Linked DNA regions of Drosophila melanogaster. The gene in region 2 interacts genetically with the main gene of each other region. Each region holds a gene or a part of one and is shown on either strand. Other genes may lie near its edges.

The links. A genetic interaction does not mean that the proteins touch.
Region 1: of muc (region 2) and Cdc42, changing one enhances a phenotype caused by changing the other (phenotypic enhancement), as found in Drosophila melanogaster (one study listed by BioGRID).

The regions. Positions count from the first base shown.
Region 1 is NC_004354.4:19,695,297-19,701,298, forward strand, and holds Cdc42 (cell division cycle 42), read left to right. Parts: upstream 1-1,794; 5' UTR 1,795-1,856; exon of another isoform or gene 1,857-1,929; intron 1,930-2,638; 5' UTR 2,639-2,661; coding exon 2,662-2,949; intron 2,950-3,010; coding exon 3,011-3,298; 3' UTR 3,299-4,642; downstream 4,643-6,002. Other genes in the region: Tcs4 (Threonyl-carbamoyl synthesis 4), read right to left, coding at 5,148-6,002. UniProt on the Drosophila melanogaster protein: Regulates mbt kinase activity and is also required to recruit mbt to adherens junctions. Together with mbt and Frl, regulates photoreceptor cell morphogenesis. Together with Frl, has a role in the neuronal development of mushroom bodies.
Region 2 is NT_033779.5:7,424,152-7,431,826, forward strand, and holds muc (midline uncoordinated), read left to right. Parts: upstream 1-2,714; 5' UTR 2,715-3,049; coding exon 3,050-3,210; intron 3,211-3,576; exon of another isoform or gene 3,577-3,622; intron 3,623-3,719; exon of another isoform or gene 3,720-3,793; intron 3,794-3,895; coding exon 3,896-4,065; intron 4,066-4,129; coding exon 4,130-4,528; intron 4,529-4,726; coding exon 4,727-4,953; intron 4,954-5,015; coding exon 5,016-5,364; intron 5,365-5,430; coding exon 5,431-5,533; intron 5,534-5,591; coding exon 5,592-5,721; 3' UTR 5,722-6,178; downstream 6,179-7,675. Other genes in the region: CG5958 (uncharacterized protein), read right to left, coding at 6,522-6,704, 6,928-7,389.

The sequences.
Region 1 (6,002 bases), on a different chromosome or scaffold from region 2:
TTACTTCACGATGACACGATGAATACAGCTGCGGTTAAAATAATAACACTACTGCAGGTGGAAAGTTGATTTACCAAAAAAAATAATTAAATGTTTTATTTTTTTAAGTCAGATTGCATGAATAATAAGAACCATATGTTGTCTCTCTGAGCAAGAAATTTTTACTCTCTCAATGTAACGGTTCTTTTTGTTTTTGGGCACTTGCTGTGGTAACAAAAATAGCACCGATCACGTATTTGCTGAATACAATTAATAGGAGTGATTGCTTTGGGTTTTTTTTTCGACAAATTTTGAAAAAAGGAGTTGCAATAAAGGTTTTAATTGAATTTTTTCCAAACGAAGACAAAAAATTCTCTAGTCATGGGTCGCGGAAAGCATTGTACCGTCGAAAAAAGAAATTTGATTAAAAACATGATTTCTGAACGTAAAACCTACGCTGAAATTGGTCGCATTGTCGGTTGTTCAAACAAAATGATCCGCAAAGCACTGCTGTTTGTCGAAAAGAAGGAAACACGGCGAAGAGAGCCCTCAATGTCCAACGTGGAGATCAAGCGCTTGGTTTGGCAAAGCAAGAAGGAGTCTTTTAAGCCGGCGACGGAACTGAAGAAGGAGCTTCAGATAGCTGCAAGCGTGGAAACAGTTCGCAAACGCTTAAGACAAAACAACCTTAATGCGTGCAGCCCCAAAAAAGTACCGCTTTTGACTGTGAAGCATGTGGCAAAGCGAATCGAATATGCCAAGATACACAAGGACTGGCCTATGGAGAAGTGGTGCAACATTTTGTGGTCAGATGAGATCAAAATTGTGTTGTTTGGTGGGAAAGGCTCTCGGTCTTATGTTCGGCGTCCACCACGACGTCCACCACTAAATATAATCCTCGCTTCACCTTTAAGTCGGTAAAAAACGGGGGATCAAGCATCATGGTATGGGCGTGCTTTTCATGGTATGGAGTAGTTCCAATCCATTGGATTCAAAGCATCATGGATCAGCACATTTACTGTCATATGCCGAGGATGAAATGCCGTTGGTTTGGACATTTCAACAGGATAACGACCCAAAACACACGAGCAAGAAAGCTCAAAGTGGTTTGAGCAGAAGTAGATCCGAGTAATGAAATGGCCTGCTCAGTCACCCGACTTGAATCCAATCGAAAACCTTTGGGCGGACGTGAAAAAAGGGTTTCTGAAGCCAGACCCAATAATAACGAGGAATTTTGGGGTGTGGTCAAGGATTCAGGAAGCAAAATTCCTCAAAAACAGTGCCAGGACTTGGTGGAGTCCATGCCAAGACGATGTCCAGCTGTCATTACCAGCATAGGTCACGCAACCAAATATTAAGATTCTTTAAACATAGTTTTTAAGATATAATCCGTTTGTTTAAATTTTTTTAAAAATTTTTTAAAAAATTTTTTTATTTAGTTTTGGCAAACTACAAGAAACAGTGCTATTTTTGTTACCGCCTAAATTTGAAGGTTTTTTTTTGTTTTACCAATTATTTTATCCATTAGATCTGTTACTAATTTTTTTATTTCGATTGAAAATCATTGTAGTATTTAAGTTTAGTGAGTAAAATGATGAAAAAGTGTCAGAAAATACAGAAACACTGGGACAAACACGAAATCCGCTTATTATTGTTACCGCAACTGTATGCAGTATATTGGTCCCGCTCTGCCCGATCGGTCGGATATATAGCCCTTACAGTGACAGAGAACTTCCACCGAAAATACCAACATACCGATTGCGATGCAAGCCGGGTGGGAGTACTGCGACGGGATGGCAACGCCGCGCTAGTCACTCGCACGCAAAGAGCTCGCTGGAGAGAGAGAACGCTAACACAAAAGGAAATAGTAGTTTTCCGTACGTATCGAGCCCAGCCCAGAAAAGCGGAAAACTAAACGGATTCGACAGCGGTTGCAAATTTTAAATAACTGTAAGTAAGGCGGAAAAGGTGCCCGCAACGAGCATCCGCCGTATAGATCGCAACGCGTTTCAATTTGCCCAGTGAAAAGTGAATGAAAACCAAATGTCGATGACGGGCCTGCCTGCCTGTGTGTGTGTGTCATATGTGCGTGTGGTCCGTGCCGCAGTGTGCGTGTGTGATAAATAATTGCTTCCAAATTTCTTTAGTTTTTTGTCTGCAAATCTCGTCTAAAATCCGACTATAGCTAAAAACAGGGGGCAGCTCCAGCAGCTGACTGGGCGGCCAGTCCCGTGACCAAATAAACCATCATAAAGCCAGTAATAGTGCAGCAAAAACTGCATTAGACCAAGTGAACACGCACCGCACACACACAACCGCAAGCTGCCGTACTCGCTGCGCCCCTGCGCGCAAGTGTTTGCGTGTATGTGTGTCCAATCAGAATTTTCTGATGCCCGTCCGGCTTATCTGTGTGCGCCGTTGCTTTCCATTCTTTCCGTTCTTTCTTCGGCTTGAGTCATCGCTCATTCTGCCCAGATATGTACATATGTACATTGCACACACACTGCCGCCCCGCTCTCCTGGGCTCCGCTCCTCCTCGTTGATAAGGCGCCGCTGGCGAACGGTCACTCTGGCAGGAGTACGAGCAGGAGCAGGGAAGCCGCACCCACTAGTCATCCCCCCAGTGTAATCCGGCAAACTAACCCCCACTAATCCGCAGGAGTCATCACCCCTCTGCACAACATGCAAACCATCAAGTGCGTGGTCGTCGGCGACGGAGCCGTGGGTAAGACATGCCTGCTCATCTCGTATACAACCAACAAGTTCCCGTCGGAGTACGTGCCCACGGTGTTCGACAACTATGCGGTCACTGTGATGATCGGCGGTGAGCCCTACACACTGGGCCTGTTCGATACGGCCGGACAGGAGGACTACGATCGGCTGCGTCCGCTCTCCTATCCGCAGACGGATGTCTTCCTTGTCTGCTTTTCGGTGGTCAGTCCCAGTTCCTTCGAGAACGTCAAGGAGAAGGTACGTACAAGACTATTCTACGCCATGGCGAGACTGTAAGTGAGTCATTTTGCATTTGCAGTGGGTGCCCGAGATTACACACCATTGCCAAAAGACGCCGTTCCTGCTGGTGGGCACACAGATTGATTTGCGCGACGAGAACAGCACGCTGGAGAAGCTGGCCAAGAACAAGCAGAAGCCCATCACCATGGAGCAGGGCGAGAAGCTGGCCAAGGAGCTGAAGGCCGTCAAGTACGTGGAGTGCTCGGCCTTGACACAGAAGGGCCTGAAAAATGTATTCGACGAGGCCATCCTGGCCGCCCTCGAGCCACCAGAGCCCACAAAGAAAAGGAAGTGCAAATTCTTATAATTCTGCTTTCCTCACACGCGGTATCCCTTTCATTCTGGCTTTCTACTATCGCAATGACTCCTTCCCAGCCTCCCGTCGTCGAGAAGCATTCAATATATAGCCGTATATATATATATATAACATATATATATATATATGTATATATATTGGTCTTGATTTACGTTATTCTGCATTAGCCCAGTACTCCATGAGCTATTTCTCCTCGCCGCCATCCGCCTGTGTCCCCACTCCCACTCTACTCTTTTTGTCTCACACACCGTCTGTGTCTCCACTTACGCGCGTCCGCGTATCTGTGTCAGTAGTGTCCGTGCTCCAGCCTCCAGAGCTCTAATCCCTACCCGGTATTTTGGTCGGTTTCTATGTTTGGTCCACTGTGACCAGGCGGCTGGGCAGTTGCCCCCAACTCGGGACAGTCTTCCGCCCCACAAGCTTCAGCTCCAATCCCCGCCAGGATCCAATCGCAGCCAATCGAATCGAAACCCAGCCGACTTCATTTCTGCTCCCAAACATGTTTTTGGCGCAATTTTCGAATTAAGTAAAAAGAGGAACCACAATATCAATATAGCGAAAACAAATGATTTATATATAAATATATATATATATATATGTATATATATATATATTTCTTTATATATATATACAAAGATTAAGGAGAGGCAAAAAAAAAAAAAATATACATTTACGATAAACAAAAAAACAATCCAGAACAGAACAGAATGTGGGGCGATTCGAAAAGAACCATGCACTTATTCGTTTTGCCTCAGTCGATGAAATCCGCGGGAATCCACGTCGATATTGTCCCGAAAGGAGCAACGTGCGAGAATTATATTAAATATTTATGATAACTGATCGCGTAATGTTTAAACAGCGGAGGTCGGATGGAATTCGCTAGCATGCAGATATGAAAGTGAAGCTTATTATGTAATAAAACTAAGCGTATGAGTATTGAAATATGATTAAAAGTAAATTAAATGAACCTAAAGGAGGAGATAAAGGATCAGCAAGAGATGCGAGAACCGAACTAGGCGTTGCAACCACAACACAAACACACATCTGAAATCTACAATCTATATAAAAGTATATACATATATATATATATATTTAAATATGTATAATCCATAAAGTATAACAAACAATAAAACAACGGCAACAGCAACAAACATTTGTATTGTAGTTCAGCAAAAAAACAAAAACGACAAAAGATGAAAGGAAAATAAGAACTAATGCATTTTTTAATATTTTTATATGTACACATTATCAATTTTTACATTTTTTTTCTAGACCTTAGTGATTTAACATTATTGATTTCAGATAATATCTTATAATAAAACGAAATCCAAAACGAAACCACTCACTGTCTTGCCTGAAATGAAAAAAAAAAAGGGAACATCCCACCAAAGATGCACAAGCGAAAATGTACTTTTTATATGTATAAAATTACATAAATTCAATGCAATTGTGATTTTTATATAGCATTTGTGATTCATTTGTGGTTGTTTATTTCTATATCGATTCGCGTGATAAAGACCTGTCGTCATATCAGTTATTACGTTCCTGGAAAAGTGGCCAACAGGTGGAGGCAAAGCTTTTCCATTACTATAAACTATATTTTGATTATCTGGCCATGTCCTATTGTTCGTCAGCATAAACGTCGAGATCTCGGAAGCCACCAGAGCTAGCAAGGTGGCTCTTAGCAAGTAGGAACTCTGCAGCGCCAAAGAACTCACACACTCAAAAATATTATGAATATATTATTAATTTGTAAATCAGACAAACAGGATTCAACAACGAACAAGGATTCATCTGTAACTTTATGTAAGAATGTATAAAACACAACAGGGGCTAGTGATCAAACCAGTGGCTGTATCCACTTGCATTTTATGGCCGCCGCAGCGACAGCTTCCTCGTGCGACTCGGCGAATCCCGCGCTGCCCTGGATATCAATGCTGTCGTAGTCGTAGCGCGTGCTGGCCTCTTTATCCTGCAGCAGTTGCTCAACGCCGTGCCAGGCGATCATGACGCCGTTGTCGGAGCAGTACCGCTTCGATGGACGGAAGCTCCTGCAGCCATACTGCGCGGCCAGATGTTCGATGTTGGCGTATATGGCATCGTTGTTGGCCACACCGCCGGACATGACCAGTGTGGGCGGGGTGTCACCGAAGAGCTGCCTGTGCGGCAGGAGGCAGTACTCAATTGCCCGCTGCGTGCGGTGCATCAGGTGCCGGCTGACAGAGCGCAGCAGGCCGGCGCAGAAGTCGCCGTAGTTGCTGATGACTCCGTCCGGAGGTGTCCGCTCTGCCCGCTCGCGCGCTCGGATGGCCCGGAAGGAGTTGTTCTTGATGCCGGCGAAGCTGAAGTTGCAGTTCCGCTGCTGGGCAAGTGGCAGCGGAAACTCGTAGGCCAGCGGATCGCTGGCCAGCTGGGCGGCATGCTCAATGGCCCGTCCTCCGTTCCACAAGCGGTACTCCGGCAGAATGTGCAGGCGTAGTCGCCGACCGATCTTGTCAAAGGCCTCGCCGGGCGCATCATCCAGTGTTTGGCCAAGAAGCGTAAGGCGACCGGGGCCGTTAGCCACCACCAACTGACAGTGGCCGCCGCTGGCCAGCAAGCAGAGGAAGGGGTAGCCGATCTGCTCCGGATGTTCCATGCGGGCCTGCAGCGCGTGCGCCTCCATGTGGTGAACGGGCAGCAGGGGCTTCTGCAG
Region 2 (7,675 bases):
AACTGAAACATATTGTGAAATTCGAGCGACAGAGAAAGCGATACATCAACGTGGTTTCTGGAGCTTCTAGGTTTTTCTACCACCAGGAATCAAAGAACGTGAAAGAACTCTTAAAAGAGATGGCCGGAAAGAAGAACGAGGTTTATTTTTAGCATTTTGATATCACAAGGCAGCTTTTTTCGCTACACTACGAGAAAAAAATGACGCAAATGGTGACCACATGATTCTACATATTTCCATATAACCAACCCATACAGACGTAGCTTTTTTTGGGGAACTTTTTGTCGCTCAAATATTAATTTTAGATTTTTTTAACCCAGACAAAGCTCATTGTGCGCATGTGTGAGTGCATTATCGAATTTTTAGTAGGAACTTCAATTTTTTTTCGTTATTTCGTTGCTCAGGGGTTAAGGGCAACAACAAAAAACGATGGCTTGGCTAGGAAAAAGCATGTGCTGCATTTTTGCTGAATAAAAAAAGAGAAGAGCGAGGAGACACCCACACAGCATACACATACAAACAGACACATACACATACAAATGCGAAGACAGTCGGTTTTTGAGGTTAGGAATGCCCCACCCAAGCAATGGCTGCTCATTTATGTACTGCACATATATACAAATATATATATATATATATATAAATCCGTCTGTACCGCAGAAATTCGCCATTATTCACAGTCCAAAGCTGTTCGCGATCGCAGGTTTATGAGGCGTGTTGTAAAAAAAGAAGCCAGTCGAAAAGGTAGTTAAAAAATACTTTTGCAAAAATTTAAATACCCACACAGCTTTGAGAGAATTCGCGAATGTATAGAAGGCACGTGTGTGTCTCAGCTGAATTGTGTGCCTATGTACGAGAGTGTATGTGTGATCACGCACGTATATGCGGTTAGTAACAGTAGGAGAGAAAGAGAACGCGAGAGAGAGAGCTTAAAACGCCGGTTCTTTTTTTTTCCCATTTTTATGCTCACTTTTATTGCGTCTTCTTTGGCTTTCATTTCCTTTGCTTGTCTCTTTACAGCGTTTCAAATATAGAATATCAAGGGTCTGCCGAACGAAACGCAAGGAAAAGAGAATTTGCTGAATGAAATGTAATAATTCGCTGACGGATGACGTCACGTCCTATGTGGTCATTAGCACTCCAGTGGCGCAACCAGGGGGCCAATACTACGCTCCGAAATAGTTGGTAAAACCTTTGACAATCAAACCAAATTAATTCACAATTTTCAGCACTTGAAGAATGGAAGACAACAAAGTGAAAAAACCCGCAAGTTGAATCTAGATACGCCCCTGGTTCCAGTTTTCTGCTCTCATATGACTAATTTTGGCATTGTTATTGCATAAAATTCGCATGGCGTCATCATCATCAACGCGTACAACTACCAAGCTCGCAAAGATCGTTAACCCCAAAGCGACGGAGACCTAATACCAGGCACAAGGTCGACTCCCGTGACCCCCTCCCCAGAAGGGGGTCGCCATTCGCTGATGCAGTTTTGTTGCCATGCGGCGGCCAAACATCTGTCTCAGAACTGCAAATGCTGAAAAAAAAACCTGACTGGGCTTGGCTTGGACTGGCCTGGCTCTTCATCTTCAACTCCAGCCACCACAGTTCCTACTCGTTATATGTGATGATGTTCCCCCGACTGTAAAGTCTCCTACCTTGCGCGCTAATCAGTGACCGGGGCTGGTTTTTTATATACAGTCAGGTACCTGAAGTAGCGCGCGTGGTGGCAGACATATATCTCCATCTTCACCATATAAATAAGCGAAATGCTCGCAGGCGAGTCCTCGCCAGAAATCCCATGTGTATCAACTGTCTCCCATGTCTATTGTACTTCATCAGGTGCTCTGGTGTGTCTCGTAACCCGGCACATGTTGAAGTACACTCAATATGAGGCGATTTGCATACGAAAGCGACCGATACAAGTGTTCAACAAATTGCCTAATTTAAAGATGAGTAAAATATAAAAGTACTCTTTTTATTAAGTTTTTCTTAAAAATAAAATTATGGCTTCTTAAAACTGTGTTACTTTACTTTAATTGGAATCATATCTTTCACAAAGGGAACAACAAAAAATGATTATTGTTATAATCATTATATTTAATTTAATGAAACGAAAAAACATCTGTTAATGTGACTAGAAAAAATTTCAATAATATATTGTCTGATTTATTCAGTCGTCCAGTTTTGTATTTTTTTCCATGCGAGCTCCTCAAATTTCCAAACAGGTTGTGGGCTTTGGTATAAAAATAGATTGTTTATGCTCCGGAATAAATAATAACAAACCGTCCATCATCTATAATGACATTTTATTTGCGTATATAATTTCAGAGAATATTCTACATAAGAAAGTATTAATTGAATGAACTACATATACATATTTAGATAGACAAAAACATTCTTAAAATATGAGCTATTTATATATAAGCATTTTCGTAATTAGTGAATAGTGTGCATGGTGCATAACAAACTATCGAATGTCTACAAGCACGAGTAAAGTGTGACCAGACGCCTCACCGCACTCATTCCCATGCACCATTTTGTAAAAAAGCCAAATTTCCAATTGGAAAATTAAAACATCTTTTTAATATCGTTGCTTTAAAAAAAATCAATTGAATTTAAAACGGAAATGAAAATAAGAATTCAGCAAAAGATTTCGAGGTAACTAACAACAACTTCATAAATTGCTGGGTCATATGAAAAAATATCACAAAGGAGAATCTCCTTTCAAAACACTGTGATACCTCTGTCAAACATTTCGTGTACGTTTTTTGAAAATAAATTCGCTGAACCGCTAAAAAAAGTGATGGTATGTTTCGGTATATTGAATACCGCTTGCACATTTTTTGGCGTTCCGTCTGCGTTCACACTGACCTCCGTAAGGTTATCGGCATAATTTTGTAAATTTTCGACTTTGCCGTTTTTCGACTCGATTCGTTAGTCAAAATTCCGAAAGACGCGCCGCCGTTAGATCCACTTCATCAACGCGCGTTGCCACAACAGGACTTGGATTAGGATTCCCCAGGCAGACCAACGATAAAGGACGAATATGCTGCGCTCCCTTGCAACAACACGAAACGAACTTGGGGCCCTTCGCTCCGTGCTCCTGCGATCGAATAACGCCACCTATGTCCGCCGATCGACGGGAAATGTGGTTGTGCGCGCCCTCAGCAGCCAGCTGATCAACTCCCGGAAACTCCAGAGCATCAGGTAAAAATCTCCCAATTTCCCCAATTCTCCCCGCTTTCGTTGAGGTTAGAAATGGTTGTGTAATATTGCAAAATGCGTATACTGCAGCGGGATTATGTGGGACCTGTGGGGGGCGATGATTGACAGTCCCGTGTCCAACTATTTAGCATATATGTCGTATTCCCCAAAAACACTCTCACACATACCCATGCGATTTGCGTGTGTTGTGCGTGCTCCACTGCTGATTTGGTTTATGGCCAAGGTCGAATACACGCTCTCCTATATCGCATGATGCGTGATAGTGTTTCGGCTGGCTGATAAGCTAGAAAATTCCGTCTAATGATTTAATGGGTCACTCTTTTTGGGTTCCATTGTTTACATCTGACGAGTGGGCGATTGAACGCCTAAATGTGTAGATAGTACAGGAGTGTGGGTACGTAAACAACAACAAACTAACAGCTGATCGAGCGTCCATAAATTAACCCATCCAAAATGCTTTCATTAACATGGTCATTTTGTAATTATAACAGGTCATACAAAATGTACACCGTTACGAATCAGAAGGAAAAATAGTTTCCAAGGATTCTGTATACCCATATTGCAAGTAATACACCTATACTATTTATTCAATATTATGTTTTCTAATAGTGGATACAACCCAATGCAACCAACTTTAATAAACTAGTTTTGTTTGAATATCGCGCAGGTCGAAACTTAACACTAGCCAGTCACCGGTCACATGGAGCTACAACTTCGCCCGTGCCTATGCCAACCTTCCGGAACACATCAGGGTGCCACTGCCCGCACTTTCCCCGACTATGGAGCGCGGATCGATTGTCAGCTGGGAGAAGAAGGAGGGCGATAAGCTCAACGAAGGTACGTGTGATAGTTACCAAAATATCCGAGTTTCAGGATCAAATTTATGACACCCTGATTGCAGGTGACTTGCTGTGCGAGATTGAGACGGATAAGGCCACCATGGGCTTTGAGACGCCCGAGGAGGGCTTTCTGGCTAAGATTCTCATCCAGGGCGGCACCAAGGACGTTCCCGTTGGCCAGCTGCTGTGCATTATCGTGCCGGACCAAGGCAGCGTAGCTGCTTTCGCGAACTTCAAGGACGACGGTGCCGCCGCAGCACCAGCTGCTCCGGCAGCAGCTCCAGCTCCAGCACCGGCAGCAGCAGCAGCTCCGCCACCACCACCACCACCCGCCGCAGCTCCAGCAGCCGCTGCGCCTCCACCAGCTCCCGCCGCTGCTCCAGCTGCAGCAGGTACGGGCCGTGTATATGCCAGTCCCATGGCCAAGCGACTAGCCGAGGCACAACAGCTGCGTCTACAAGGTTGTTTAATCCTAACTAATGCCTCTCTTACACACATCCTGTTCCATTTCGCAATGCATGCATCACCTGACTAACATCCATCATAATCATTCGTTACAGATAACAAAACCTCCCATATACACTATCCAACCGTACAGCTTTTCATATAGCGCCCTTTGTCCAATTGTTCCGTTACTAATCCGCGGCTTTTGTGTGCAGGCAAGGGCAGTGGAGTCCATGGCTCAATTAAATCTGGTGATCTTGCAGGCCAGAAAGCAGCAGCCAAGCCAGCTGCTGCGGCACCTGCCAAGGCCCCCAGGGCAGCTGGAGCGCGCTACGAGGACATTCCGGTGACCAACATGCGCGCAGTGATTGCCAAACGTCTGCTGGAGTCCAAGACACAACTGCCTCACTACTACGTCACCGTGCAATGCCAAGTGGATAAGGTGGGTTATCACGAACAGATATACTTCTTAATTCAAATTTAATTTAAATGAAATTTTTACAGCTGCTGAAGTTCCGCGCGAAGGTGAACAAGAAGTACGAGAAGCAGGGTGCCCGCGTCTCTGTAAACGACTTCATTATCAAGGCCGTGGCCATTGCCAGTCTTAAGGTTCCCGAAGCGAACTCCGCCTGGATGGACACAGTAATTCGCAAGTACGACGACGTCGATGTTTCGGTTGCTGTCTCCACAGACAAGGGTCTGATTACCCCGATTGTTTTCAATGCCGACCGCAAGGGTGTCCTGGAGATCTCTAAGGATGTCAAGGCGCTGGCAGCCAAGGCGCGCGACAACAAACTTCAGCCCCACGAATTCCAGGGTGGCACCATCTCGGTTTCTAATCTGGGCATGTTCGGTATGGGAAATACAGTTATATAAAGCCTGGTCCAAATTTGGTAATTAATATGTTATCCTACCACAGGTGTGAACCAGTTTGCCGCTGTCATCAACCCTCCTCAATCGTGCATCCTTGCCATTGGCACCACAACGAAACAGTTGGTTGCTGATCCCGACAGTCTCAAGGGGTAAGTTTCAAATAAGGAGAATAGTACACTAACTAATATAATCTTTTTTTCTATGCAGCTTCAAGGAGGTCAACATGCTGACGGTCACCCTGAGTGCTGATCATCGTGTTGTGGATGGTGCTGTTGCTGCCAGGTGGCTGCAGCACTTCCGCGACTACATGGAGGATCCTTCCAATATGGTATTGTAAGCGGACAGAAACGACCCATCACATTTAGAGACTCCAACGAAAACAAAAAAAGGATAACAAATTTAGCATCCTCTCTTTAAGCGAGGAGTTTCAATCGACATGCAATATGTGGATATGTGGTTTCTAATCGGTGTCACATATGTAAAGTTTTAAATTGGATTTAACTCATCGGTCGCCTATATATATATATATATAGAAATTAAATTGTGTAATTATTGATGTAGTTATTGATGGTCACCGTCGTTGCCATGATTGTAGAAGAGTACACAAAATACTTGAATGATATTCGAATTAACCCACTCACCGAGCTGTAAATTTCCGTTTGATATGCAAAACGTTTTTTATGCTTTGTTCGCATATGTTGATCATGATCGAGTATGAAAATGGAAGTAGTTGAAAGTCCAAAGACGCGTTAAATAAACCCAAAACACTCACATGAACTAGCCAATTCTTAAATAAAATTGACTTTTATTTTAATTATAGTGTGTTTCAGCCTAAATTCAAACCACGATGCCTCCAAATTTAAAACATTATCTGATGGGTGTTGCATATATCAACTTTTAAGCTTTCTAGACAGTAGCTAGAGTAACAAAACTCTATTCAGCTCAAATTTAATGCTCTCAACACCCAGTCGAAAAATAATATACATTGCTTTTCCGTGGTTTATAGTATTATGTAACTAGTTTATTGCCAAAATGTTACGAACTAAGCAAACACATATTGAAAGTATTTACAAGCATAAAGTTAAGCTAATGTCAATGTAGGATGCGAATGTCAGTGTAGTATTGAAATGGGGCCAATCACCACTGGGCAGGGCCAAGCTGGCTCCACTCCTCCACATACTGGGCCTGCTGCTCCAGAGCGGGGAACCACTCGACGCCACCGTAGTCGATCGCGGGCAGAGTACCCTTGTAGTTGGCGGGCAGGACGGAGGGGTCGAGGAACTTCTGCAACGACTTCATGTCACTGCCGTGGAAGTGCATCTGTTGGAAGAAAATTATTCAATGATATATTGTTATTAATATTCATTTAAAAGGAGGGGGAAATCAGTTATGTCTAATTAATATGGTTTATATAACTTGGTTATAATTGTAAGAATCAGGTATTTTACGTTACTGATAAGATTCATTCTTCCAATGAAGAGAAATTGTAGCCTACTTTTGAGGGCAGAAGGACAAGGTAGGAGTAAGTACACGTTTTACTTACCCTATTGTTCAGCTTTTGTTTGACGAAGGGCTTGAAGAGCGACCAAACCATGTTGAAGATGAACGGCTGCTTCACGAAGTGCACCTCCTTCATGCGAAGGGGCATCGCCTCCTGGATGAATGTGAGCAATCGCTTGGAGAAGCTCGGCGACAGGGCCTTCACCTGTTTCATCGACAGTCCCTCGAAGTCCATGATGCAGACCACGCCCCGCACCTGGGTCTCCTCCTCCAGCTGGGCGGCGAGATGTACCATGTAGAGCATGCGGAACATCTCATCGCTGGTAATATCGCTGGGATCCCAGAGTTTGCCACAGTTCACGATGAGCACACGACGACCCTTCTGGTCGCAGTTCTTGAGCACATTGATCACACTGCCCTTCACGAATTTCTCCTTAACCTGCTCGACCAGGAGTCCGCGGACCAGAGAGGCGTACTCCTTGCGGAAGCTGGCTGTGGTTTTCATCTGAAAGTCATTTTCAAATTAGTCAAGAGCTTAGCAAACTTAAATTTATGTATTTTATGTGAGGATAAAAAATTTTAGTCTAGGCAACCAACTTAATTTAGCTTATTATGCTACTCGTGTAGCTAATTGAAAACTTTATATTTTTAATATTTTTATAGGGTACACATTATAAACAGAGGAATTGCCTCTATAAATCTTTGAACCGATGACGCTAACTTCTTACGGAACTAGTCATTGTAACTTCATCTGTTGGCAGGTGTGACATGGCTAGATTAGAGTCCATAAT